4 linked regions of the Stegostoma tigrinum genome follow. The protein of the gene in region 3 purifies or fractionates together with the protein of the main gene of each other region. This does not show direct contact. Links are inferred from orthologs where the notes say so. Each region holds a gene or a part of one and is shown on either strand. Other genes may lie near its edges.

What was found.
Region 1: the proteins of coatomer subunit gamma-1 (region 3) and copb1 fractionate together in Homo sapiens (co-fractionation; 11 studies listed by BioGRID and IntAct, counting the BioPlex papers as one, with this or other methods). This does not show direct contact. The link is inferred for Stegostoma tigrinum from reciprocal best matches to the Homo sapiens genes COPG1 and COPB1.
Region 2: the proteins of coatomer subunit gamma-1 (region 3) and nudcd1 purify together in Homo sapiens (affinity purification with mass spectrometry; 3 studies listed by BioGRID and IntAct, counting the BioPlex papers as one, with this or other methods). This does not show direct contact. The link is inferred for Stegostoma tigrinum from reciprocal best matches to the Homo sapiens genes COPG1 and NUDCD1.
Region 4: the proteins of coatomer subunit gamma-1 (region 3) and cope fractionate together in Homo sapiens (co-fractionation; 6 studies listed by BioGRID and IntAct, counting the BioPlex papers as one, with this or other methods). This does not show direct contact. The link is inferred for Stegostoma tigrinum from reciprocal best matches to the Homo sapiens genes COPG1 and COPE.

The regions. Positions count from the first base shown.
Region 1 is NC_081370.1:30,699,652-30,706,813, reverse strand, and holds the start of copb1 (coatomer subunit beta), read left to right. Parts: upstream 1-4,152; 5' UTR 4,153-4,348; intron 4,349-7,162. UniProt on the Homo sapiens protein: The coatomer is a cytosolic protein complex that binds to dilysine motifs and reversibly associates with Golgi non-clathrin-coated vesicles, which further mediate biosynthetic protein transport from the ER, via the Golgi up to the trans Golgi network.
Region 2 is NC_081358.1:1,208,506-1,215,336, reverse strand, and holds the start of nudcd1 (nudC domain-containing protein 1), read left to right. Parts: upstream 1-3,812; 5' UTR 3,813-3,831; coding exon 3,832-3,946; intron 3,947-6,831.
Region 3 is NC_081364.1:7,961,497-7,968,621, reverse strand, and holds the start of coatomer subunit gamma-1, read left to right. Parts: upstream 1-4,113; 5' UTR 4,114-4,256; coding exon 4,257-4,293; intron 4,294-7,125. UniProt on the Homo sapiens protein: The coatomer is a cytosolic protein complex that binds to dilysine motifs and reversibly associates with Golgi non-clathrin-coated vesicles, which further mediate biosynthetic protein transport from the ER, via the Golgi up to the trans Golgi network.
Region 4 is NC_081383.1:7,210,328-7,217,862, reverse strand, and holds the start of cope (coatomer subunit epsilon), read left to right. Parts: upstream 1-4,534; 5' UTR 4,535-4,562; coding exon 4,563-4,667; intron 4,668-7,535. UniProt on the Homo sapiens protein: The coatomer is a cytosolic protein complex that binds to dilysine motifs and reversibly associates with Golgi non-clathrin-coated vesicles, which further mediate biosynthetic protein transport from the ER, via the Golgi up to the trans Golgi network.

The sequences.
Region 1 (7,162 bases), on a different chromosome or scaffold from region 3:
CACCTCCCACAATTTAAAGTTTTCCTCATGATCACATAATCTAATCCCTCTTCAACAGGCATTATTATCCCAGTTCGCCAGTTTAGATTAGTTCGTTATTTCCTCTGCAGTTTTTTTCCACATAGTTATTAAAGTTTTTCAGTTTGCCCCTGATTTGCATTTCAAAATTGCTTCTTTCACTTTGGTGCATTTATCTACCACCTCGTTCCCTCTATTTGCCCAATTTCATTCCCTAATTTATTATTAAGGCATGCTGACAGACGTCTGAATTGCTCCTCATCCTCAGAATTTTCTCGGCACGTTTGATGCGGAGGAGCTCCAGTGCCGGATATATCCAAAGTGTACTCATCCTACACTTATCTCTTACCCTGGGTTTATTCACCCTCCCAGTGCTCTAACATCCACCCCAACGGACTATCGGGCGGAATCCCGGGGCCTCGTCCTCTTGGCCCCCTACTCTGTTCCCGGGGGCTCTTACCTTTTAGCCCCCATCCCTGTCCCACTTCGGACAGATTCCCCGATCGCCCGGATAGTAGTTAATAGTCAATTTTCTTACCCGGGTCTTGTGCACAAGAATTGCTCGATCGACTCACATTCCAAGGGCCCTTAACCTAAACCCACTTGTTTTCAGAGTCTCCTATCCGGATACGACTCGCTCAAGCCGCCCAACGGCAAGCAAGGACGTCTGGGACCTCTGAACTCAGCGGGGCACGCCTTCTCTTCTTCCGAACCCACCAGCGGACGACTCGGAGTGTGGATCCCGGATGAGCCCCCAAGCTTGTGAGATATAAATTCACGTGCTCACAATCACAAAGTCAGGAGGCAAAGTCTTGGAAACAAGTTACTTGCGCTTTATTACGAGTCTGCAGAATCGGGTGCCTCCCATTGCCTGAGACGCACACAGGTCAGGGAGTCACCCCTTCCCTTTCGGCTCTGTCCAATCTGAGCTCCAAGATGCACAATCTTCCCATGTCATCCCTTGTCCCACACTCTTCATACATTGCATGTTATGTTAATTAAGCAGTCTCGTAAGCATGGGCGTGAAAGTTAATATGCATTGTCTCATTAAGCATGCGCTTTAACTATGTCTATGGTGCAAAGCAGAACTTAGCAGTTTGGGTCCAGTTCATTCTGGTTTCTAACTGTTTTGTCTTCACTCCCTTATCTTATCACTCAGCTCAGTACCAGATGTCTTTGTTCAAAGCTGCAGTAATTCTTTACTGCAGTGTACTCATCCCTGTCTCTCATACTGTTCTTGCCACCAAAGTGTATAACCGCACATTTATCCACATTAAACTGCATCTGCCATGCATCCGTCCACTCAGTTAGACTGTCCAAATCACCCTGTATTGTCATAACATCCTCCTCACATTTCACACTGCCACCCAGCTTTGTGTCATCAGCAAATTTGTTAATATTACTTTTAATGCCTTTGTCTATATCATTAATGTACATTGTAAACAGCTGCGGTCCCAGCACCGAACGTTGTGGTACCCCACTGGTCACCGCCTGCCATTCCGAAAGGGACCTGTTTATCACTACTCTTTGCTTATTTGATATTTACCCCTAGAAACTTGAAGTGCTTGATCATCTTTACCTCTGCACCATTGTGACCAACAGGGCATATCCTCCAAGATAATAAAATGTGAGGCTGGATGAACACAGCAGGCCAAGCAGCATCTCACGAGCACAAAAGCTGACGTTTCGGGCCTCTAGCGTCACCGTAGACCAAGGGCTCGGGTGATACTGATGTTATATGAGGCAGGTTGTTATTGTCATTAACGGAGACAGATGTTATGTGCAACTTTGATGTTCTTATGTCTCGGTGAAGGGACTTAATTCACCGTTTGCGGTTTTTCCTCACTTGTCACTGAAGAGTTGCAGAAGTTCGAGTGTCAGTGACAAAGTGAGTCTCGAGGTCTTTTGGGCGAAAGTGTCGTATCTCTCGATGCCGAGGAATGTCATGAGGCGGTTATTCATTTCCGACCACTTGCCTCGTGCGCCCATCACAAAGCCAAAATAGCTGGGCACCTCGCCTCCTGTCAGTTTCGTGATCTCGGCATTCAGGTGTTTATATTTTTCCACTTTTTCTCGCCATGCTGTTTCCAGTGCTTTATTGTCATTTTCGTACCGCACTGTGACATCTACGATCGCGATCTTCTTGTCTTTCTTAAATATGAGATCGGGTTTCCATAGTGAGCCGTGTGTATCGAATAGTCTGGGCTCCACGTATGATGTCCAGCCGTACTTACTGACGTGTTTCTGCAACTGGTCAGCGATCTTATTATGGCGTTTGATTCGAGCTTTCTTAACGAATGGGCAGTATCCTGAGATGTGTGGTAGGGTCTCATTTGCCATCTCACATCTACGGCATAGTTTGTTTCTGTACGGCCTACCTCTAGATATTGTGGTTCTTGTTGGGTATAGGTTACACCGCAAGAGCTGCGGATTATCGCGGATGGTATTTGCACTTCGAGTTTTGGGACGCCGAGACCATCGTTCCTGTAGCTCGAATATAGTATTCTGTCTGCGGTATGAGGTGGTAGGTGTAGGAATTCTTTCGTGGCGTTACGGATGATTTGGTCCAGCTTTACAAGAGTAGTTTGTGATGCTTCTGTTAGGATCATATGGAAGTACAATCTGGGGATGACATGCACCTTTAGGATTTCCAACCGTTGCCGTGGTCGGAGAGGCGCTGCCTGTATTCCCTGAACCCAGGACTTAAGCTTCTCCTCCCACTGCCCTTCTGCCACACCTGCCCATGGATCGATGCGGGCACCCAGGTATTTCTCGGTGTCGCCTGGGGGTATGTAGGCTATGGATTCATCCCGTAGCTTCCAGTTTTTGTGCTCGTGAGATGCTGCTTGGCCTGCTGTGTTCATCCAGCCTCACATTTTATTATCTTGGAATCTCCAGCATCTGCAGTTCCCATTATCTCTGAGGGCATATCCTCCATTTCACTTTCTGAAATTGATGGCCAGTTCCTTCGTTTTGCTGACATTGAGGAAGAGATTGATGACTTTATAGCATGCCACTGAGCTCTCTATCTCTCTTCTGTACTCTATCTCATTGTTGTTGTCATCAGCGAATTTGTAAATGGAGTTACAGCTGAATTTGGCTACACTGTTGTGACAATATAAGGACTATAATAAGGGTCTGCGTGCACAACTTTTCAGGGTGTTGAGGATTATCATGGAGGAGGTACTGTCACCTATCCTTACGATTGTGGTCTGCTGCTCAGGAAGTTGAGGATCCAGTGCAGAATGGGGAGGAGTATCCTAGCTCTCGGAGGATTGGGAAATGAGTTTGGTTGGAATTATGGTGTTGAAGGTAGAGCTAAAGTCACTAAATGGAAATTTGACATACGTGTCCTCGTTATTCAGACGTTCCAGGGATGAGTATTGGACGAAAGCGCTGGTGTCTGCTGTGGACATATTGCGAGGATGGACGAACTGTAGCTGATCAAGGCAACCTGGGAGACTGGAGATTATGTATGCCATTAGTAACGTTGACTGGTTCCCAGGGAGGAAAGAAGATACAGACGTTGTTCTTGAGGTATGCGAGTGCTTGAGGTATTTGAGCAAATGGAGCAACTGTTCCCAATTGTGAAAGGACGAAGGACACAAAATTAAATAATTGGCAAAATAAGCAACCGCAATACGAGGAAATAACTTTTTTTTTATCCGTGCAGCCGGCACTCGAGGTCTAGAATACACTGCTGGAGACTGGTTCAATCGATGTCTTCGAAAGGGAATTGGACTGATATGGTAGCACAGTGTGGAGCTGGAGGAACACAGCAAGCCAGGCAACATCAGAGCAGCAGGAAAGCTGATGTTTCGGGTTCGAGACCCTTCAGAAAAGGGGCTAATTCTGACTCCAACAACTGCAGTTTTTACCATCTCTGGACTATGAAGTGAAAAGTTTTTAAAAATGTATGGAAAAGGAAGAAAAGCATGAAAAGAAAAAGACAGGCAAAAAAAATGTGCACCTTTGGAGTAGGGAGAAGGAAGCTATGAAGTGAGTCGCTCTGATAGTGTAGAGATGATGCATGCTCTCGTGCAGCAGTTCCCTGATTACACTTGTGCTCTGGACGGGAAAGTCTGCCTGCGATTGCGGATTGTGACGTGGCTCCTCGGAGCGCGCTTGCGTGTCTATTGGCACCGCTCGGCCGCCGTCGATCATTGAGGTTGCAGTTCCACGTCAGCTGGAGGACAACGGGAGGAAGAGATCGGCTTCCTCCTCCTCTACCTCCACACAATCATCATCATCCTCCTCCTCCCCCCTCCCCGCTTCTTCAGCCGCCGTTGATACAGCGACCCGGCCTTCTCTTCTCATCTCTGGAGACCAGGTGCAGTAAGACCGTCGCCTGGCAGCGGAGGTTGCCAGTTCCTGGCCGCGGCCTAAGGCCGGGTTTTGTTGTTGTCTCGGCCCCACTCATGCTTCCCGGAGCAGATTTACATCACAATAGGGAGCGGTCCTGCTCCCTCCTCAGATGGACTGGACTGACTCTTCGGCTTTAGATTGAAGCAAAATCAAATGAGGTTTTGAATAATCCTTGAGAAGCCGATGTTTTTACAAAAGTGAAGGGTCCCCGTGTAAGCATGTAGCTTAATATTTCCGCAGCATAATGTTCTCTGTTCACTTCCTTTGGGCTTCACTTTAACATTTGAATTATGCCTTTTTGCAAATCTAATGACTTTGCAATCAGGTAAAACTTGCCTGGTCCTGGAAAGTGCCAAGTAGTCAAAATGGCCAGGTCAGCTTTTAAACTGTCGGGATGCCCAGCACTGAGCGAGAGGAAACTGCTGCTACATAAACATTAACAGCGAAAAATCGAAAGGTCGAATTTCTGCGAGTTGTTTTGTGAAGTTTGCTAGCAAGTTGTGCATAAGATAATCGCTTACCAGAAGCGTCGGTCAACCAATTTTTCTTTCATTTAGAAAAGCTTTAAGCTTCAGTTTCAGCGTGCATTTTAAAATGGAATCATAATTTTCTCCAGTATATTTGGGATTCCATTCCATTCCTTATCAATAAGACCTCCTTTCTGGTTTAAATCTGTATTTGTCTTCTTGCCTAACTTTGCACTTTATTTCTTAATGTAATTTGCCATTTATCATTTCCGAATTTGTTACCTTTTCGATCTCCTTGGAGGTTTTCTTTCAAACCTGAAATCTTGATGGTACTTCATAATTCTGACTTAATTAATTCTATGAATTAACATCACTGTTCTTTCATTGAATATTCCTTTTGTGATTTGGTGGTGAGAGCTAGATACAGTAATCATAAGTTTTGAGCTGATCAGACAGCTGTCAGCTAGATCATGACTTACTCTGATTTGTGCCTACAGCAGTTCATCATTTTATTGGTTTTGTGGTTTGAATTTTGTGTTTAGTTGTACATCTTGTGACAAGTTTGTGGAAACACTTTGGTCTCCTTCAGCTTTCCTGCTATTTGCAAACAACATATATCTGATTTTCCTTCATGCATATTGAACATCATCTGCCATAGCTTTGTTCATCTGGACATTTTATGTCCCTTGTCTCACTTTCTGAGTTTCTTCCTTGCCCATCATAATTTAGCATTTGCAAATTTGAGCAAGTTGCATTGAAGTTTTGAACTTAAATATTGTATCAATCAACAATGAAGTCCCTTATTTACATTGGCTTCAAACTATATGATATACTTAAATGTTCTGTAAAACGCAAGTGTAGTTTAAATGTAGGATAAAGCTCCAATGACAGAATATTACCTGAAAATAACTACATTTCATGACTAAGTAATACAATGTGCCTGAGAGCCTGATAACTACACTGCACATCTCAGTTACTTCGAGTGTGAAATATCCTCTTAAAATTAGATAAAAGATCAAAGTGCAAACGTAAATTTTTTTTTCTCTAATTGTTACCTGCTGTATGAAAAAATGGTTTGTCAACCTCTTATTATATGATATTGATATTTTTGGTGAATACATGGCCTTCAGGAAGGGAGATGTGACCTGCTTCTGAATTCCGTGTAGTCCTTTCAGTTCCTGCTATTGATAAACAAATGGCAGAGTTCTAAAAAGCCATGATGTAAACTACAGTGTTATGATATGTCCCAGTGATGGCTCATAGCTAAATGCTATTGCCGTTTGTGACACAGTGCATCATCTCCAATCTCCCTATTCCTTTCCGAAACCTTTGGATGTCTGTCACCACCCAAATTGCTGCCCATCTTTCCTACAATTTCATGTTTGAAGCTCACTAATTAACCTTCTGCTCCTGCTGTAAGTCAGCTGTTATTAAAGTTACAACTGGCAACTTATATGACTGTGACCATGATAAGTAATCATTCCATAGTTTTTTTAATCTGCCTTCAACCTTTGACAACGTTGGCCATGCTATCCTCCTTCAGCATATCTGCTGCATCGTCCAGCTGATTGAAACTAACCAGGGGCAATTCCATTCTGATCGACACAGTCATAGCCAAATAATTACCTGCAATGAGGTATTTTTATTTGGTCCTGTGTTACCTCTGAATTCAGCAAGGATGTATCCCTAACTATTACCTATTTCTCCCCTACCTCTTTGACATAATGCAAAATCACAATCTCAGGTACCATATGTATGCTAGTGCCATCCAGTTCAACTTCACTTCTACTTTATGTGCATTGTTTCTGATTTATCTCACTGCTTTTCTGACTCCCAGTGCTGAAAGGACAAATTTTCTCCAACTAAGTGTCATCTTAGTTAATTCACAGAAACTTTTCTTCAAAATAGCAAGGGAAAAGAATTATCCCTGATGACCTGTCAAATATTTCTCTCGTAGTTACTGTTATAGAATAGATTATTTGGTTGCATTGGTGTTCGTGGAATTTTCTTATGTGCAACTCTGCTGCTGTTTGCCTACATTACCACATTAGCTGCACTTCAAATGTGCATCATTGCTGTAAACTGTGTTTTGGAGTTTCTTGACATAAAAAGGACTTCATGAAAACAAACGCTGCTCTTTTGTTTTCGCTGACTACACCCATTTCCATGAAAACTTAGAGACCAAACCAGATTGTGCATGTCCTTGGTGTCATGTTTGACTCTGAATTTTCAACCCTAACTCAGTTCTTTGCCAAGGCAATCTGCTTCCACCAATGTAACATTGTCAACCTACATCATTCCCTCAGCTTATG
Region 2 (6,831 bases), on a different chromosome or scaffold from region 3:
ATGCCTTCATAAAATCCATATACACCACATCCACTGCTCTGCCCTCATCAGTATGTTTTGACAGCTATATTTCTGCAAATGCTTGTAAAGCAAAATTATCAGCTGACTGCTTTGTGCATTTGGACTTTTCACAACTGAGTTAACATTCTTGTGACGGCAGATATGAATTCACATGCCAATATGAGGAGCAACAAGTGTGTGAAATAAAGGATTTCTGCGATAGTATAAAAACAGTGATTTTCAGACAAATAGAATTACAAACACATTCTGATATGTACACTAAAATTCTTTGTATGAATTAACAGAGAACAGTAGGGTGGCTCAGTGGGTAGCACTGCTAACTTACTGGGATCCAGGGTTTGATTTCAGTCCTGGGTAATTATCTATGTAGAATTTGAGTGGAACTCACTCTCCAGATTACTTATTACCAAAATCACTGCGCTATTGTGCTCACAGTCAAATCTGGAGACCTAATGAAAACATCAGCTACAACAGCTCAAATACACTGGTAATATTTCCACAGAGAATAGCACATGGGCAAAACAACTTAAGGTTTTTCTCCCTCATCTCTTGCCCCAAAGAAAGTGGCGGGGGGGGGGGGGGGGGGTAGAGTGGTTAGCACTGCTGCCTCACAATGCAGGGCGACTATCTGTGTGGAGTTTACACATTCTCCCTGCATCTGTGCAAATTTCTGCAGGGGGTGATCTGGTTTTCTCCCACAGTCCAACAATGTGCAGGTTAAGTGGACTGGCCATGCTAAATTGCCCCATAGTGTCTTGAGGTATTCAGGTAGGCCATGGTGAATGAAGGATTACGGGGATGGTGTGGGGGTCAGGGGCTAGGTGGGATGCTCTTTTGAGGATATGTACAGGACTTGACGGGGTGAAAGGCCTCTTTCTACACTCTAGGGATTCTATGACTCGAGATAGGTACTTAGGAAAGGAAATAAACAAGTTGAGCTAATAGCAGCACATATCCTCATTTTGGGAAAAATACCCATTTCCAATCTGTTTCTTAGTTTTGAAACTAATTGTTGGCTTCTTGTTAGCCTTTAGGCTTTTTTTCATTTCTACTTCATGCTAAGCCTATTACATCATGTTGTTTTTGGATTACAGTTACAAGCAGAAGGAAAAAAACTCAGAAAGAGGTGGTGGCTGTTCATTACTGAAATTTTGATATGAAATAAAGAAAAATAATACAAAAGCTTTTATCACCACCTGTTCCCTGACATCAGCCCCTTCTGTGCTGCTTCCTGGATAAGGTGATGCACAAACTGTATCTCCGACACTAGACTGAGTTTCAAACACCACATCACACCAAATGTAAAATTTCTAATGGTCTATTCCTATCACACCCCTATTGCCACTGAAGTCTTAATCACATTTGTTATTCGCAGAATGGACATCCCTCAATGCACCTTCACAGATGTTGTCAGTCCTGCTGAGTTTGTCTAGCATTTTCTGTCTTTCTTTCAGGTTTCCAGCAACCGCAGTATTTTTTACGTAATAAAAATGACACTGATAATACCTGTGTACGTTCCATGATTACCTGTTTCTAATCTTCCCTTTACATACCTGGCACACTCGGAAGATAAGCATGTCACAAAAAAGAGCTTCACTCACACCAATAAATATTCCAGCTCCAAGGTTTTAAAATCTGCATTTTCTATTTGCCAAATACATCTGTAGTAGGTGACTACCCCCTAGAGGCTGCAAAAGACATCACAATAAATTGCAAGATAACAAGTGTGGGGCTGGATGAACACAGCTGGCCAAGCAGCATCTCAGGAGCACAAAAGCTGATGTTTTGGGCCTAGGCCCATCATCAGAACTGATACAATAAATTGCATTTAACTTCGATTTGAGATGGAAGATCTGAAACACGCTCACTTGTAAGATATACCTGACTGAAACTGCTTCATATTTATCAAAAGCCTGGAACAGATTGTACTCTGGCCTTTCAGTATACATTCTCTACAGATCATACAAGAAACAACCCAGTAATTATCACTGCTACTGCATTATGACCAATCTCAAAATCAACCTTGTCTATTCAATCGTTCTGAAAATTGAACTGCAATGATTTCTCAGTGGTAACCCACATTAACTGTAGGGCTCTTCAATATGCATCCCATGTTGTTGCCTTACGTCCTAATACCAGTAATTACATGACTCTGTTAAAGTTGACTAATTATACCCAGCTAGGACATTTGTCACCCATGGAGATCTATGGAAAAAAAACAGCATTTGTTAGCAAATCAAAGACCGCAAAAAAACAATGATATGATGGCTGATTTTGTAGAGCACCAAGACCTGCGCTCATGATGAGAGACACCAAAAGTCAGGGAAGGAAAAGTGCCTCCAAGAATTTAGACGGAAAGAGGTTGCAGCACAGTTCAAAATGAAGCAAAGTCATCTACAGACCCCACACCACATCTTCTACAATTTTCAGAACTTCTGGCCTCCCTACCATCATCCTACACTTCTACTCTTCCCCTTCCCTCCCTTCGTCCTCTCTCTCTCTCTCTCTCTGCTCCTCTCCTCTATCTTCCCCAAACACATCCCTCCTGGTCCCATTCTCCTGTTCACTCCATCCTCACTTCTCATCCATGTTCACATAAACCGTTCCACATCCCTTTGGTCCTTCATCACCCTGTCTCCCTCCAAATCTCTTGTCCTGACCAAAACCTCTACCCCTCTCCTCCATCCAAACTCCCTCCCTCCTTCAGTCTAAAACCCCATCCCTGCTCTTTCAAACAACATCGTCAATCCAAAATCCCTTTCACCTCCAAACTTCCCCTTTAAGATCACCTTCATCTAAATCCTGCCCCTCTATTCCCAAATGCTCTCTCCTCCCTCCAAACACCCCTCCTCCCAATCCCTTGAAACACCCTGCAATCCATTCCTTCTCTTCTTCCAACAACCCCTGCCTCACTCTCCCTCCAAAGCCTGCAACCATCCCCTCTCTTCCCCTTCATCTCCCTCCAAACCCCCTTCATCCTTTCCTGGAAAGCTCCCCGACCTATGGGGTAACTTTTTCCACACAGAGTGGTGTATATGTGGAATGAGGTAGTGGAGAATTACAACACTTAAACGCCATCTAGATGGGTGTAGGAATAAGAAAGGTTTAAGAGTGATAGAGGTCAAATGGGACTAGATTAATTGAGAATATCCAATGGGCATGGACAAGTTGGACTGAAGGTTGTATTTCTGCGCTGAACCCCACCATCGTTATAACTCTCTCTCAACCCCATTCCAAATTACTTCCTCTCTGTGTCCGGAATCGCCCCGTCTTACCTGTCTGATTTCCCCCCAACAACTTGTATCTCACAATCTCACTTCTCTCTCTCTCTCATACAACAGGGCACGGCCCAGTGCGGATCAAAGGAGAACGTCCGCCCTCATACCGCTCCCCGCCAACCTGCAATTCCACAAAACGGTTCCGGACTGTAAGGAGCCTGGGGCTAACTAGTGAATAACAGAGAAACAACAACAACAGCAACGAAAAGAGAATGAGAGAGAGTGTGTGGGGAGGGGTTGTGGGACTCAGTAGCAACTTAAACCCTGCCGAAATGTGATTTAAAAGCGAGGAAACAGAATGTGCAACGCAATATCCTTTACCCCATGTCCTCCGAACAGGGAACTAAACTGCAGAAAATCATGATATGAAACCAGAATTCAATTTGTGTGCAAATACACAATCTATTTGCCAGCGAACATTAAATAATGGCGACGCATCGAGGGTTAAAGATCTTAGTTTACGGGTCTAGTGACAGAACTACAACTCCCGGCCTGCCCTAGGAGTGACCGGAAGTGTTTGTCGGGCGGTGTGATGGCGGCGGCTAACTGTTCGCTGACGGTCTCCCGTCACCTCCTCGACCCTAAGTTTGATAGTTACAAACTCTCCCTGGAAACACTGCCCATTTACACCGTGGACCTGGATGGCGGTGAGTTACCGGGGTAGCAACTCCTTTCCCCAGCGCCAACTCATCCCGCTTCACCCCATGAGGCAGAGAAAGCTGCGTTTCTTTAGCGCCTTTCACATCCCTAAAATCGGTTCTTTTGTCCGCCTTCATTTATCGCCGCATTTTATTTTAACACTTTACTTATCACCAGGATTGTTGTAGTTCATTCACCATGCTAATAAACACGGTAGTCAATCTGTACACGTTGCTGTTGATGGGAGTGACTTGATGATCCAGCTGGTTTCCACTTTTTGCCTGAGGTTTAGGCATCGCTCCCCAGGCACAGGCACCTTCCTACTTCAGCGTCTTTTTCAAAATAAAAGTGGCTGCGGGGTCCTTTAACGTCCTGAAAGGACACTGAGTAGCTTGGTTTACTGTCTTGTTCGCATGGTATCTCTGACCATGCTGCACTTTCTCATTACTGCATTGGATCCGCGTTTCTGCGATTTTTGTTTAGTCTTCGAGTCCCTTGATTAGGATTTGTATCGACAACCTTCTAACTCCAAAATTGAGAGTGAGACCAACTGTACCAGGACTGATACCAGCTCAGTTCAGCTTTCTACAGACTGGACTCCACCGCAAGAAAATTTGTATCATTTGTTGTGACTTCTGACACTTCTAGAATTAAAATCCTTGATGCTTCCTTATTAATGTTTTGGTATATAGTGCTGCCTCATTGCAACAACGAGCTTTTATTGAAATATTATAAGGCTGGGATTGTTTGGCTCAAATGGCAGCAGCACTCCTAACTTGAGCCAGAGTGTTGTGGCCAGCAAGTAATCTGTGGTGAACCTCAGCTGGGCTGCTGAATGACTAGAGCTTATATATTAAATTAGTGATAACAAAGTGTACAGCTGGATGAACTCAGCAGGCCAAACAGCATCTTAGGAACACAAACTGCTTGGCCTGCTGTGTTCATCCAGCTCCACACTTTGTTGTCTCAGATTCTCCAGCATCTGCAGTTCCCATTATCTCTGATACAATACTAAATTAGTGATCTGCCTACTTAGTTAAGTAAGCTTAAGATATTGTGGGGCAATATTTTGTTAATTATGGAGTTCTCTCAATGTTCACCCGAAAAAACAATGCCTTTGTCAATGGCAGAAAAACCACTCATAGACCATTCTAATATTGTTGGAGGGTCTTTTTATACCTAAATTGATAGTAGTGTTTCCTTTCTTGTGAAGGACTATACTTCAAAATGACTTGACTGACTCATCCTTTAGCATATGATAAGCTTCTATGTAAATGCAGGTAGATACACTGTTATGTGAACTGACTGTTTTGACTAACATTTATTTTATTTTGATTGGTAATCTCTGGGAATGTATTGATCTCAAATCAGTCTTGGTTCACTAGCTGATTCAGCCATTGAGTTTTACAAAATTCAAGGAGGCCATTTAGTTTGTCATGTTGATACCTACTCTTTCTGGTGCAGAAATCCTCAACTAATCCTGCCCATCTCTCTGCTGTACCCTGTGTCTTTCTGTGTAGCATCTGTTCTTTGTCACACCTGGTTATGGCAAAACATTTCAACCTCTGACAGATGCTACCAAAAAAGAAGTTAAGATCAAAAGAATTGAGTAAGAATTGAATGCTATTTGGCACTCTCCACCAACCATGTTTTGTCATTCAATGAGATACTGATTGATTTGATTGGAGCTTAACTTCATTTTCTTGCCTGCCCTAATCACCCTTAACTCCTTTGTTGAATAAAGATGAAACCCTGAAATGTAGTTCAGACCGCCTTTGTCTCATGCTCGTGCTGTCTCTCTTGCTCACCACTCTCTGGGGGAAGACAGTTCTAAAAACTTGTACCCCTCTGAGAGAACTTCCTCATCTCTGTCTTAAGTGAGAGACTCCTTATTTTGAAATTGTCTTGTAGTTCTAGACTCCCTATCCTCCCAGCAACCCTATGAACCCTATGAACATCCCTCAGAATCTTCAATGTTTCAATAAGATCATCTTTAAATCTTCTAATCAATAATGTATGTAGGCCCCATCTGCTCATCCTTTCCTCATAAAACAAATCTCTCACTCCAGAAATTTGCCAAATGTGTCATTTCGAAACTGTACCAGATACAGTTTTATCCCTGCCTAAGTAAGGACGCTAAAACTGCATACGATACTTTCAAAATTTCTTATCACTCGCCCATTCTGACTGTTTTGAATTGACTCCTTCTCTCTGATTTGCAAAACAGAGCGAACAGCCTTTCCTTACTAGTTTCTTAAAATTCCACTTGGGCTTCTCCGTTGTACTAGTTTCAGTATCTCCACTTTTCTTACAAAATGGAAGCTTCTAGTTAATACCAGCAGTTAGAATCAAAGGACAGCTATTCCAATTGTAAAATATTAATTTCAATGGCTGCATTAATCTTTTGGAAGCGCAAAACCAGTGCTGGCAGATCTGGTAGCGTCCTTTTCTTCTGCGCAACCCTCATTGGCGTCACATCTATTCTCTCCCTCTTCCCTGACCACTTCTTCCTGTCTGTATCACTGTGCTGAATTAATCTGATGGTTAGGTTGCAGTTAGAACATTGTGCACACTTTCAGACAACTTTCTTTGAATAGGATTGAAGATTGTGCTAAAGATACAGAAGGGATTCAGTGAGGAGATGTTATTAAAGGTGAGAAGCTTAGTTATTTGGAGATCATTGAAGATGTGCAGCTCTGTTCATTCAATTCTGAGCTGTACAAAATTAAGGGGCTTTGTTGAGATTGATCGCTCACATTTCAGGACATTGTCATCGTGCTGCTTTTTTCTGGAATAAAAAATTGAAGGATCTTGCAGATGTTTTTGGGAAACTAAGGACAGAAATTGGAAGAAAGATTGAAGAATAAAAAGAACCTGGATGTAAAAATAGAGT
Region 3 (7,125 bases):
TCCCTACCTCCCCACCTATACTCTCTCCACCTATCTTCTTTACTCTCCATCTTCAGTCCGCCTCCCCGTCTCTCCCTATTTATTCCAGTTCCCTCTCCCCATCCCCCTCTCTGATGAAGGGTCTAGGCCCGAAATGTCAGCTTTTGTGCTCCTGAGATGCTGCTGGGCCTGCTGTGTTCATCCAGCCTCACATTTTATTATCTTGGAATTCTCCAGCATCTGCAGTTCCCATTATCACTGATACTATTTATATACCCATCCAGGTGCCTTTTAAATGTTGTAATTGTACTCAAATTTATCTGACACTTCCTCTGGCAGCTCATTCCATACATGCACCACCCTCTGTGTGAAAAAGTTGCCCTTTAGGTCCCTTTTAAATGTTTCACCTCTCAACTTAAACCTATGCCCCTCTAGCTTTTGACCGCCCTTTGCCTATTTACCCTATCCATAGGCAGAAATGGAGCCCAGAGAGAGAGGAGAAGTTAGGCAAAGACATGGATAATGGGAAGCCAGGGAAGGAGAGAAGCTGAAATGGGGACTGTAAGTAGGTGAAGATGGGTCAGAGGTGCTGAAAGCAGCCCGGCATGATAGGGCTGGGGGAGTGGGGTGTGCGGGGTCTGGGGGCTGCAGGTGGGGATGGGACGGTGTGTGTGTGTGTGGAATGCATAAAGGACACGGAATGAGGTGTTCAGGTTCCAAATTGTTAAACGTGGTGTTGAGACCCCAAGCAGAAAATGAGGTGTTGTTCTTCCAGCTTGTACTGAGCTTCCCTGGAGCGCTGCAGCAAGCCTGAGACAGAGGTGTTGGCCAGGGAACAGGGTGGCATGTTGAAATGGCAGGCAACTGGAAGCTCAAGGTCATTTTTATAGACAGACGTATAGCAGTCAACCAGTCTGCATTTTGCCTCCGCAGTGGAGAGGAGACCACATTGTGAGCAGCACTGTTATTGGGCAGGTGTTACACCTTCTGTAGTTGCATGGGAAGGTGCTGTGGGGGTGTGAGGAGGTGCTGGGGGTGGAGGAAAAGTGGACCAGAGTGTCCCGGAAAGAACAGTCCCAGTGCAGGCTGACACAGAAGGAATGTGGAACGAGTCTGGTGATGGCATCCTGCTGGAGGTGACGGAAATGGTTTCCAATGATCCTCTGAATGTGGATGCTGGAGAGGAAGAAAGTCGCGATGAGGGGAACCCTGTTGCTGTTGGGGGATGGAAGACAGGGGGTGAGGACTGAAATGCGGGAGATGGGTCGGACCCGGCTGGGGGCCCTGTCAATTACTGTGCTGGGGAAATCCTTGTTTGGAGAAGAAGATGGACAGTATGAGGCTCATGCCACCAGCAAGCCACCACCACTGGTAGCCCATGCCCCCCGATCCCCCACACACAGAAGGCAGCATCATCAGAACAGATACAACAGAATGGAGGAACTTGGAGAACGGAATGGCGTCCTTACAGGAAGCAGAGTGTGAGGATGTATAGTCGAAGTTACTCTGGGAGTTGGTGGGTTTGCAGTGGATTTCTCAAAAATGTAAACAGAGATGTGGAGGAAAGGAACGGACGAGTCAAAGATGGACCAGGTAAAGAGGGAAGCAGCACCGATGATGTCTTTGAAGTGCCAGAGAAAGGGTTTTGAGGAGGGATCCGAATGGGATTGGAACAAGGAACGTTCCATGCACCCCACAAAGAGACAGACATTGCTGGGGTCCACGCATGAGCCCACGGCCGTGGTAGAAAGTGAGAAGAGTTACTGGTGAAATTGTTTGAAATGAGGATCAGCTCAGCCGGGTAGAGGACGGTGGTGGTGGGCAGGGATGGTTCAGGCCTATTTTCCAGGAAGAAGAGGAGAGCCCTGAGACCATCTTGATGCGGGATGGACGTGTAAAGGGATTTCACATCCATGTCGAAGAGGAGGCAGTTGGTGTCGTCAAAGTCAAAATTTTGAAACTGTTGTAAACTGTCAGAATCATAGAAACTCTACATTGTGGAAGCAGGCCATTCAGCCCATTCAGTTGCACCAACCCTCTGAAGAACATCCCCCCCAGACACCCCGCCCCCACCACCCTGTATTTCCCATGACTGACCCAGCTAGCCCGCATGTCCCTGGGCACTACAGAACAATTCAGCACGGCCAATCCACCCTAACCTGCACATCCCTGGGCACAATGCTACGATTTCCCACGGCCAATCCACCCTAACCTGCACATCCCTGGGCACAATGCTACGATTTCCCACGGCCAATCCACCCTAACCTGCACATCCCTGGGCACAATGCTACGATTTCCCACGGCCAATCCACTCTAACCTATGGATGTGGGAGGAAACCCAAAGGAAACCCAAGCAGATACGGGAAGAATGCTGAAACTCTACACAGACAGTTGCCCAAGGGTGGAATTGATCCCGGGTCCCTAGTGCCGTGGTACAGCAGTGCTGAACACTGAGTCGCCGTGCCACCCTTAGAGTTGCAGATATATATGGGAAGGATCTGGACAAAAGTAGAGAAGTCAAGGTAAGAAGTAAATTCTATGGGGCAGGAACAAGCAGAAACAAAGTGTGGAGCTGGACGAATACAGCAGGCCAGGCAGCATCTCCGGAGCACAAAAGCTGACGTTTCGGGCCTAGACCCTACATCAGAAACATTGTGTCTGCTGGGCAGCCCATTTATGGATCTTGGGAAGATGGTAGAAGAAGGGTGTCTGGGGATGGGGGACTGTGAACTTGGAGGCTGTGGGGAATGAGGGTATATGGGGTGGGTGGAGGGGGGAAGACATGCCTAGAATAAGATGAACTTACTGACTGCCATGGACATAATATCCTGATGTTCGATGGTGGGGTCATGGTCCAGGAGAGATAAGAGGAGGAACCTTGAGAGCTGCTGCTCAACCTTCCCAATGTCAAAGTCAATATGCCAGTGAACAGCAGCACCACCCTTGTTGGCAGGCTTGATTTCAAAGTGAGAGTTGGATCTAAGAGCACAGAGTGCAAACAGTTCAGAGGGACACTGGTTTGAATGGACAAGGGGGCAGAGAAATTATCATGGTGACATTGACAATCTTCAGTGAACAGATTGATTGTAAGTAAGGGGACAGAAGTAGGGGACTAGGTATGGAGGGGTGTGTTGGAGACAGATGAAGGTGTCTATGGGACAGAGAAAGGACTCCTGTCCAAAGAATTGGGCAATGGACACAACAGAAGAGGGGTTCAACATCTTTGTTGTGCCCAGTGTGAAGGCAGGAGAATGGGATTTAAAACTATACAATCCCTCCAGTGTGGAAGCAGGCCAATGCCCACACCAACCCTACGAAGAGCAAGTAACCCAAATCTACCCCCAACCTATCCCTGTAACCCCACCTTTACTATGGCTAATCCATCTAGCCTGCAGATCGCCGGACACTATGGGCGATTTAGCATGGCCAATCCACCAAACGTGCACATCCTGTGGACTGTGGAATGAAACTGGAGCACCCGGAGGAATCTCAGGCAGACCCAAATTCCACACACAGACTGTCGCCTGGGGGTGGAATTGAACCCCAGTCCCTGGCACTGTGAGGCAGCAGTGTTAACTGCTGAGTCGCCATGCCACATTATATCAGCAACGATGAGACCTGATGGGCCAAACTACCCTAGTTCCACTCCTATGTCTTAAAGTCTTATCTCTTGATCCCTTGAGGTGGGGCTCTCTGAACTGCTCATGTAGAGGACTAGGTCATGCTAGATGGGCCAAACGGCCTCCTGTTGTGCTTTTAATCTTTGTGTGACAACCCCACAAACACCAGGACTTGGCTATTTGGGTTCAGTGTGGCCAGTTTCTACACTTCAGATATCCTTGGTAAGAAAGATAGGTAAAGAATAGCATAAATTAAACAGTAATGGACAACACCCTATTTGAAAGGGAAGAGAAACCACATTAAAGAAAGTCACGCATGCGCGCTGCCGGAACGGATTCCGAGGCTACCTGCAGTAGCGCTGGAATGGGAGCCGGTCCTGCGCGTGCGCAGAATCCGCGCCAGTCCGGAGGCATTGCGCATGCTCAGACTGCCGGCGTGTCCGGGAGCGGAGCCGGCGCCAGGCATGCGCAGCGATGGGGCGAATGACGTGTCGTTGTGACAGGTTGGCAGGAAGTGAAGGCATTGACACCGGAAGTGGGAGCCAGAGGGCTGAGACTGTTTGAGAGTAGGGGTGATCCAGAGGGAAAGTGTGGAAGCAGCCGGCTGTCTTCGAGCGCCTGTAAAGTTAGTAGGTTAAAAACCGAAAGGCTGGGAAGATGTTGAAAAAGTTTGACAAAAAGGATGAGGAGTCTGGTAAGTGCCAGTCATGAAGGACGGGATGAGGGGCCTGTGTTGGTTACTATGGCAGCACCGGCCTAAGGGAGCAAGTGATGAGCAAGTTCCTGATGTAGTCAGCTCAGGTGCTCCATGGTAAAGCCTTTCTGAATCTGCTCAATGTGGGCTCGAAACTAACTTCTGTAAATGTGTTTAAAATTCATTCAGTTGCCTGGAGCTATCTGAACCCAGTGATGACATACTTTGCCAGGGCAGGGCTGGGATTTGGCTGGCATCATGGAATGGTTCTGGCACTGTAGGTGACGATTTGGCTTGTGATGCCTCTCTGAATGAGCAATTCACCCTGTGCCATTCCCTTGCCTTCTCCTCGTAATTCTTCACATTCTTCGTTTTCAAAAAGTAATATTGTTCCCTATTGAGTGGCTAGATTGAATAAAAATAAAGTTGCTGGAAAAGCTCAGCAGGCCTGGCATCATCTGTTTCGGGTTTGATGACCCTTCCTCAGGCTTGATTGAATCTGCTTACATGCAGGTGCAAGCACACACTTGTATACACAGACACACAAACACTTGCATGCACAACACATTCTAGATCCTAACCAGTCATTGCATAATGGTGTTTTGCCCTCACGTTCCCAATTGCTTTAAATCTGTGCCCTCTTGTTCTCAATCCTTTCACCTTTGGGACCACTTTCTTCCTATCTACTTGTACAGATGCCTTGCCATTTTGAGCTCATCAGTCAAATCTCTTTTCAGCCCGTCCAAAAAACAACTGTGAATGACAGTGATGGATTCCTGTCTAGCTACAATCAATTTTTCATATTTTTCTGCATTTGATGACTTACTAATGGGTTGGTTTGGCTGTATACTAATTAATACAAGTTAGCATCAATCTTTTTGGTGTCAGTTTTTTTTGGTAGCTAGTATTAGCTTTAATGGTATGTCAAATCTGTCAGTATTTGTGAAGTGTCTCTACAGGTTTGACAACATTTGTAGGAGTTCCCTGTGAGCATTTTAATGGTTAGACATTTCAAAGGCAGGGCTAAAAAAGATCGCTGGAGCCACTAGGCTTGTTGCAAAGTCCAAATAATCAATAGGGTGCTCAATCTGATTTACTCTGCCAACTACCTATCCAGTTCCTTCCTGAATATTCAGACTGTCTTGTCCTTGTTGGCTTGTCTAGTCATATTGTTGTAATTTTCTTGGTTTCATAATAAAACTCATCCATAAAGTACTGGAAGTGTACAGGAAATCTGTTAGAACAAAAGAAAAAATACATAATAAAGAAGCAGTGGAAAAGTGGAAATGTCACTGGACTAGAAATCCAAAACCCCAGCCTAAAGTAGGCACATGCGTTCGAATGCTGTCATGGTAGATGGTAGAATTAATACAAATCTGCAATTTTTAAAAAAAGCTAGTCTAATGGCAACCACCAGTTCACTCTTTTCCTTTATGGAAGTAAATCTGCCATTCTTATAGTTTGGTTTACATGTGACCCCAGACCAACAGCAATGTGATGTTTACTGATCTCTGGTCAATTAGCAATTAATAATAAATATTTCTTACCCACTGAAGCCTACATCTCATGAAAGAATAAAGAAAAAGTCATGAACTTAATTTTCTGTCAAGTGATAATAGTCGAGCTCATAACTTGACTCATTTATGTTTGCTGGAATTGACATGCATTCATACACAGGATCTTGATCTTTGTAAGCGAAAGGAATATGCTCAAACCTTGCCCCTCACCAGTTTGAGGCTATTGTTTCCAATTACATTTTAGGTAGCAATGCCTCAGCCAATCAGACCTGCTGACCAATCAACTCCCTTTTCATGTGTACCGCAAATCCTCATTAAGCTGCAGGGGTTAATGGGCATCCTGTGGATAACAAAATAAGTGGGTACTGCTTCGATGTAACTCCTTTATCTGCCACGAAGGAATGCACACCCAGACCAGATGAGTTGTTGGGAGGAAAGATGCCGAGGAGTGAATGCAGTAGAAAAGTTGTGATTATTTAAAATTTTGCAATTTTGCAGCTGTCCTGATGAGTGCGAGAGTAAAACTTCAGTTCTCTTTTCAGCCATGTTTCTGTTTTATATTTTTTACCTTACCGAAATTTTATCTAACATTACTTAACGATATATTTGTTGTTCTTATTCTAGTAAGTCAGTTATGACTGTTGTGATTGGTTAGTGTTTACTGTAGAGTTGATTTTTCAAAGAGTGATGGGCCAGTAGAGGAGGGACTGATTGGATGCAACAAATTTTTGAGTGCTGCTATTATATGTTGTTATGAAATTGGGTAGAGTAATTGTGAAGTGGCAGGCAGGAAGCTAAAATGTGTGGTTCCTTTAAGAGATTTGTGTTTTGTCTGTATTTGGATGCACACTTTTTTAAAATTTCTGTGAGCACCAGCTGGAGTTTCCAGAACACAGAGCCTCAAAAATTGAAACTAATGTATGAAAAAGAAAGCCTTGCTGGTGGCAGACAAAGTAGCAGTCTTGTTTTAAAGTTGTGACAAGTTTGAAATCGATCTATTTACTTAAACGAAGCACCGAGATACAGAAAGCCAATCGAATTTAAATCTGATGGTGTTGACAGCCTAAAACCAATCATAATATAAGAATTTCATTCTGTCATTATGGGTAGAAAGACGAGGGCATTTAGAAAATTGGAGCGAGCCAACTGCCATCTGAAATACAGCCACCCGCTAGAGTTAGCACCATTCATCGCTCAGAGAAAGCCCAACTAATTAACCAAATGTACCACGGTATTTTAGCTCAAAATCATCATTGAAGAAATTAGAGATACAAGATCCCTGACAGCAGAATTAATGGAAGAAAGGCATTTGTGA
Region 4 (7,535 bases), on a different chromosome or scaffold from region 3:
ACTTAACGATAAGCAAGTGGTCCATTTAACATCTCATCCATAGGATACATTTCTAACAATGCTGCATCCCGTCATTTTGAAGGGTTAGCATACAATAAGTGGGTTGGAATCATGGCCTCTCCAACTCAGTGATCTTCTCCAGTCCTACAACACTAAGATATTGGCACTGCTCAACTTCCGGCCACTTGAGTGCTTGATTTGAGTGGCGGTCGCTTCACCAGCCTGGCTCCTAAGTTCAGAAAAGCTCTGATGAAACCTTTTCTGCTTCATGAACCCTTTTAATTCTTTAAGATTAATTCTTTAAAAATCAATAATGCCATATTAAGGAAAATGAACAAAGGCTTGGTCATTGAAGTAAACTTTAAGTATGGTCTTTTAGACTCATAGAGTCATACAGCATGGAAACAGACCCTTCGGCCCAACTAGTTGAATGGAGTTTATTTTGGATAAATGCAAAATTTTGCATTTTGGTAAAACAAACAGACAATACATGTACTATTAAGAGGGCATTGGGCAGTGTTGAAGAACAGAGAGACCTATGGGTTCATGTACACAATTCTTTGATATTTGCATCACATATAGATGGGGTGGTTAAGAAAGTGTTTAGCATGCTTGCCTTCATTGCTCAGATCTTTGAGTATAGGAGTTTTTACCTTAGTGTTGAGGTTGTGCAGGATATTGGTGAGGCCACTTCTGAAGTACTGTGTCCAATTCCATCGGTAACTCCTCAGCCTATTGACCCAATTCACCAAGATCCCTTCGTAATCTTAGATAATCTTCACTGTCAACTGTACTGTCAATGTTGGTGTCATCTGCAAACTAACCAGCCATGCCTCCCAAATTCTCATCCAAATTGTTTATATAAATGACATTCAAAAGTAGACCCAGCACCTATCCATGTGGACCACCACTGGTCACAGGCCTCCAGTCCAAGAAACAATTCTCTACTACCCTCTATGTCTCCTACCATCAAGACAATTTTGTATCTAGCTGGTAAGCTCTCCCTGAATCCCATGTGATCTAACTTTATTAATTAGTCTACCGTGGAAACCTTGTCAAAGGCTTTATCAAAGTCCATGCAGACAATGTCTATCAGTCTGCCATCATCAATCTCTTTGGTTATGTCCTCAAAAACCTCAATAAAGTTTGTGAGACATGATTTCCCTCACACAAAGCCATGCTGACTATCCTTAATCAGTCCTTGCCTCTCCAAATGCATGTAACTCCTATCTCTCAGAATCCCGTCCAAGAAATTACCCACCACTGATATCAGACTCACAAGTCTATAGCTCCCAGGCTTCTCTCTATTGGCACTCCTCCAGTCCTTCGACAGCTCACCTGTGGCTGTAGATAACCCAAATATCTCCACCAGGGGCCCTGCAACTTCTTCCCTAACTTGCCACAACATCCTGGGATGCACTTGATCAGGTCCTGGAGATTTAACTACCTTTCTCTTTTTTCAAGACTTCCAGCACTTCCTCTTCTGCAATGTGGACTGTTTTCAAGACATCAATATTTACTCCCTCAAGTTCTCTAGCCTCCATTTTCTTCTCCACAGTAAAATCTGATGTAAAATATTTGTTTGGTATCTGTCCCAAATCTTCTGGTTCCATGCAAAGACAAAAACATTAACCTTTAAGGGGCCTTTTTTGCTCCCTTGTTGCTTTTTTACTGTTAGTGCACTTGTAGAATCTCTTTGGATTATCCTAAACTTTATCTGCCAAAACTAATGCTTGCCCCTTCTGGTGCCTCCTGATTTCCCTTATAATTTTCAAGAGATTCACTTTATCCCAATTGTCTATATCTAATACTTGACTCCTTCTTAATCTTGACTGGAGCCTCAATATCTTTATTCATCTATTGTTCCCTACTCTTACCGACCTTACCCTTCACTCTAACAGGAAACTAATGTCTCTGATCTCTCATTATCTTACTTTTAAAAGCTTCCCACTTGCCAATCATCCCTTAACTTCAATCTACTTCAACCAATTTTTGAAAGTTCCTGTCTAATATGATCAAAATTTGCCATACTCCAATTGAAAGTCTTAAAAAAACAGAGTGGGTCAGAATCCTTAGAATCCCTATAGGGTGGAAACAGGCCCTTCAGCCCAACAAGTCCACACCGAACCTCAGTGCATTCTACCCAGACCCATTCCCGTTTTAACCCACGTAACCTACATATGCTGAACACTACGGGCAATTTAGCATGGCCAATCCACCTGCACATCTTTGGACTGTGGGAAGAAACCAGAACACCCGGAGGAAACCCATGCAGACACGGGGAGCATGTGCAAACTCCACACAGACAGACACCGAAGGCCAGAATCGAACCTGGATCCCTGCTGCTGTGAGGCAGCAGTGCTAACCACTGTGCCACCATGCCACCCTTGAGGCAAAGAGGTGTTGGGAGGGAATACCAGGGTATTGGCACTTCAAACATAGAACAGTAAAGCACTGTACAGGCTCTTCGGCCCACAATGTTGTGTCAACCTATTATCCTACTCTAAGATCAAACTACTTTGCATACCCTACATTTTACTATCATCCATGTGCCTATCCAAGAGTCACTTAAATGTCCCTAATGGATCTGAGTCCATTACTACTGCTGGCAGTGCATTCCACACACCCATCACTCAAGGCGTAAAGAATCTACCTCTGCCATTTCCCCTATATCTTCATCCAATCACCTGAAAATTAAGCCCCCTCATAATAGTCATTTCTGCCCTTGGAAAGAGTCTCTGGGTATCCACTCTATCTATGCCTGTCATCATCTTGTACACCTCTATCAAGTCACCTCTCATCCTTCTCTCCAATGAGAAAAGCCCTAGCTCCGTCATAAGACCTGCCCTCCAGTCCAGGCAGCATCCTGGTAAATCTCCTTTGTACCCCCTCTAAAGCTTCCACATCTTTCCTATCATGAGGCGATCAGAACTGAACACAATATTCCAAGTGTGGTCTAACCAGGGTTTTGTAGAGTTGCAGCATAACCTCGTGGCACTTAAACTCAATTCTCCTGCCAATGAGAGCCAACACACCATAGGCCTTCTTAACAACCCTATTGACTTGGGTGGCAATTTTCATGGGATCTTTGGATGTGGACCCCAAGATCGCTCTGTTCCTCCACACTGCCAAGAATCCTGCCATTAACCCTGTATTCTGCATTCAAATTCAACCTTCCAAAATGAATCACTTCACAATTTTCCAGGTTGAATTCCATCTGCCACTTCTTTGCCCAGCTCTGTGTCCTGTCAATGTTCCATTGCAACCTACAACAGCCCTCTACACTATCCGCCAACCTTTGCATCATCGGCAAATTTACTAACCCACCCTTCTGCTTCCTCATTTATAAAATCACAAACTGTCGGGGCCCCAGAACGGATCCCTGCGGAAGACCAATGTTCACCGAGTTCAAGGCTGAATACTTTCCATCTATGGCCACCTTCTGTCTTCTATTGAACAGCCAATTTTGTATCCAACTTGAAGGCATGAACATTGATGGTGCAACGATCAAAACTGGGGATACTCAAGAAGCTAGAATTAAATGAGTACAGACAACTTAGAATGTTTTACAGCTGGAAGAGGGTACAGAGAAGAGCGCAGAGGCAGGAGCACCATCGGCAGCTTAAGGCCTCAGAAGGATTTGAAGACAATGCTATAAATATTAAATTGAGATATTGCTTGACCAGGAATCAGTGAAATTTCCTGGCCACTTTGGTAAGTAAGTAAGCACAAGAGTTAGAGGGGAGTAGAACTTATTGCAAGTTGAGACAAACAACAGGATTTTCTGTTCGCGGCAACATTAGGGAGGGTGGAAAACAGGAGGCCAGCCCAGAGTGCATTGGATCATTGATTTGAAAGTCAACAAAGGCATTAATGATGATTATTATTCATTTAATAGTTTATAGGTAATACTTTGGAAAATAACTCAATGCATTACGTTAATATTCCAGATGTTTATATTCTTTCTAATATTGTTTAATATTTAATATAAAATGCATAAGGGAATCTTTTACATCACTGGGTAGTTCTGGAAGCATGGCAATTTTACCTTTTCATTAAAAGTCTGATTTTACTTTAAAAATTCAACTTATTTAATGATCGTAGTTTTATATGAAATAATTATTTATTTTTCATTAATTTAGTATGTATATTCTAGCTTTATATATTATTCAATTATTATTCAGAAGTTTTTATTGAATATTATAATTCCATACAGCCTAATTAAAACGCATTTTAAGCAATAACAAATTACATTGTTATTAGAAGTAATGATCTGTATTAAATTAGATTTTCCAAGGTATCATAACGGCTTGGAGATAGTAGGAACTTGCAGATGCTGGAGAATCTGAGATAACAAGGTGTAGAGCTGGATGAACACAGCTTTCCAGCTCCTGTCATGCTGCTGGGCCTGCTGTGTTCATCCAGCTCTACACCTTGTTACCATCATAACTTGCCCCAGTTCTAGACACAGTTTGGCAGAGACACGGGATCCGAGCAGGCGCAGTGAGGAGGATGAGGACTTCCGGCGCCACGTGTGCCGCGCCTGCGCGTTGGGCACGAAGATGGCGGCCATGCAGCAGGGGGATGGGGACCAGCTGTTCGATGTCCGCAACAGCTTCTACATCGGCAGCTACCAGCAGTGTATTAACGAGGCGCAGAAAGTCAAGGTGAGGAGGTGGGAGTTGGGCGGCTTGGCACCCTGGGTCTTCTCTGCTGTTATTTACTTTCAAAGTTGGCCTTTTCTCATCGGAGTCCGGGGGCGGCTCTGGAACGGTCGCAGCGCCCAGGGAGCTGGGCACCCGTCCGAGAGTCAGGGCCGAGGGAGTGCAGCATTTGAAAGGCTATTAGATTATTACCTCAGAAGAAGTAATATGCAGGGCTATTGTGAGAAAGCAGAAAATGGAAACTAGGCATATTTTTAATTTGGAGAGCCAGCGCAGCTAAGACAAGGTGAATGTCCTTTCTTTGATCAGTAACTGCTGTCAATTGGAGCAGTCGCATTTATGAGTATAAGAGCAGGATAGTGGATGTATATCCTGCAAGGCATGGTTCATTTCCTGACTTCTCTAAATTTCTCCACTCTCTAAAAGATTCGGGCCGGGTATGTAATAGAGATAGTAGGAACTACAGATGCCTGAGAATCTGAGATAACAAGGTGTAGAGCTGGGTGAACACAGCAGGCCAAGCAGCATCAGAGGAGCAAGAAAGCTGATGTTTCGGGTCGAGACCCTTCCTCAGAAAATGAAGAAGGATCTCCACTCGAAACGTCAGCTTTCCTGCTCCTCTGATGCGGCTTGGCCAGCTGTGTTCATCCAGCTCTATATCATGTTATTTTGGATATGTAACAGGATTCTTTCCTCTCATTTACATGGTGTTGTCTCTGAATACCCTGAAAGCTTGGCATCAACAAGAGCAGCCAACTTTATTTCACTGCACTCAATGGGATTTGATATCTATTTAGGCTTGCATAAATTAGAATAAAGGTAAAACAAGTGATTGAAAAAGCAAACGCAAGTCAAAAAGTCACCTGGTTATAGTCCAACAGATTCGTTTGAATTCACAAGCTTGCGAAGCGCTGTCCCATTTTTAGTTGAAGTGACAGCTACCCTGACAAGGCAGCTCTCCCTCAGCACTTCACCTGACAAAGGGGCAGCTTTGAATGCTTGTCATTTCAAATAAACCTGTTGGACTATAACTTGGCATTGTGTGACTTTTGACCTTTTCTGCCTGGTCCAACGCTAGCATCTTCGCATTATGCTTATTGCAAGTGAAATGGAATATAAATGTAGGGATATTTTACTGCAGTTGTACAGGGCATCGGGAAGACCACATCTGGAGTGCCGTATGTACTGTTTTAGTTATCTTATTTAGCATTTAGAAGGAGTTCTTGGACTGGAAAGGTTGGACGGTCCGACCCAGTATCCATTGGAATTTAAAAGGATAAAGAGATGATCCTGCGTGGACTTGACAGAGTGCGTAGTAGTGATAGTTTCCTTTTATGAAACTAAAACAGTTTAAGAGCTGTCCATGTAAGACAATTGTTAAAAATTCTGAGGGTCATGTGCAACATTCCCTCTAAGTTTGTTTTGGCTTGTGGAAGCCACTGCTGCAGTCTGACTTCTGAGACCTATACAGTGCAAAAAAAGAGTGAGGGAACGTTGGTCATGAGCCTTTGGCATTCTCTTCCCCAGAGAGCAGTGGTGGGAGAGTCGTTGACTATTTTTAATAGAGTGAGAGAGATTCTTAAACTTTGACTCCCCTGTTAATTATCAGGCATAGGCAGGAGTATGAAGTTGAAGCCACACTCAGATCAGCCTTGATCTTAGTGAATGGTGGAATAGGCATGAGGGTAAAATGGCAGACTCCTAACTCATATTCTTACATTTTTGCACCACTGGTTTAGTGTTCGTAATATGCACTACATAACTGATCAAGCCTCCTTTCACAGTAACTTCCAGCTTTCCTCCTTCAGGTATCAACTACACAGCTTCAGCATCACTGCCAATTTCCTTTCGATCTGGCATCATCCTGACTTGGAATTATATGTAGTGTCCTGAAATTTCCCGGGTAATTTCATAATTGATGCAACAATAAGCAATGTGAAAATTCTATCCTCTTTGGGAACTTGTTGATGGGCCATAAAATTGTAGCTTTTTCCATCTTCTCTTTAACCTAATGGATTATTTTCTTCTGTCCTTCCCTCTCCCCCCCCCCACAAAAAAACCCTTATTAGCTTCTTCTTCAAATACTGATCCGTTTCCATTGTTTCCCATCAGTCTTTTTGATGGTCTATTCCATGTTTTAGCAACTAAGGCAAATGCATACATTTTTATAACTCTTCCTTCATTCTTGTGATACTAATCTTTAATTTACAACCAGTTCATATAGATGCCTTCTGAACCAAATCACAGAGCAGTACTTTGCTTGACTTATCAAAAATCCATATTTCATTTCTGTGAAATAGGGCAAAGCATTTACAAGATGGTTTCAGAAACACTGAGTTCAGAGTCACCAGAGGTAATCTACCATGATTTAGATCTTGGTTTCTGCAGTATTAGTGGCGCTTTAGCATGCTTGAGCCAAGAAAAATGAGGTGAATATTAGCCAGGTTTATGTTATAAATATTTGAGGTGTACTGTTATTGCATTTGATTTTAATTAACCTCAGTGAAATTGTTTTGTAATCATTCCTTCCTACCAGTTGTTTCTTATTTAAATAGTCATTGTTGTAGTTTAGCTGTTAAAGACAAGATTTTAAGAGGTAGGAGCATAAGTAGGGCATTCAGTCCATCCAGCTTTCTCCAGTATTTGAGATTATATTCTGATACTCGTCAACCTCATCTTCCTGTCTTCTCTCCCTAGACCTCAGTTCCCTTCCTGATTAGAAATCTGTCTCAGCCTTGAAACACTTCACAAGCCAGCCTTAACAGCTGTCTGGTAAGAAAGTTCACAGATTCCCTGTTGTCTGAAAGAAGAAATTCCTTTTCATTTTTGTCTCAAATGGGTGACTCCTTACTCTGAGATCTCACCTTCTCG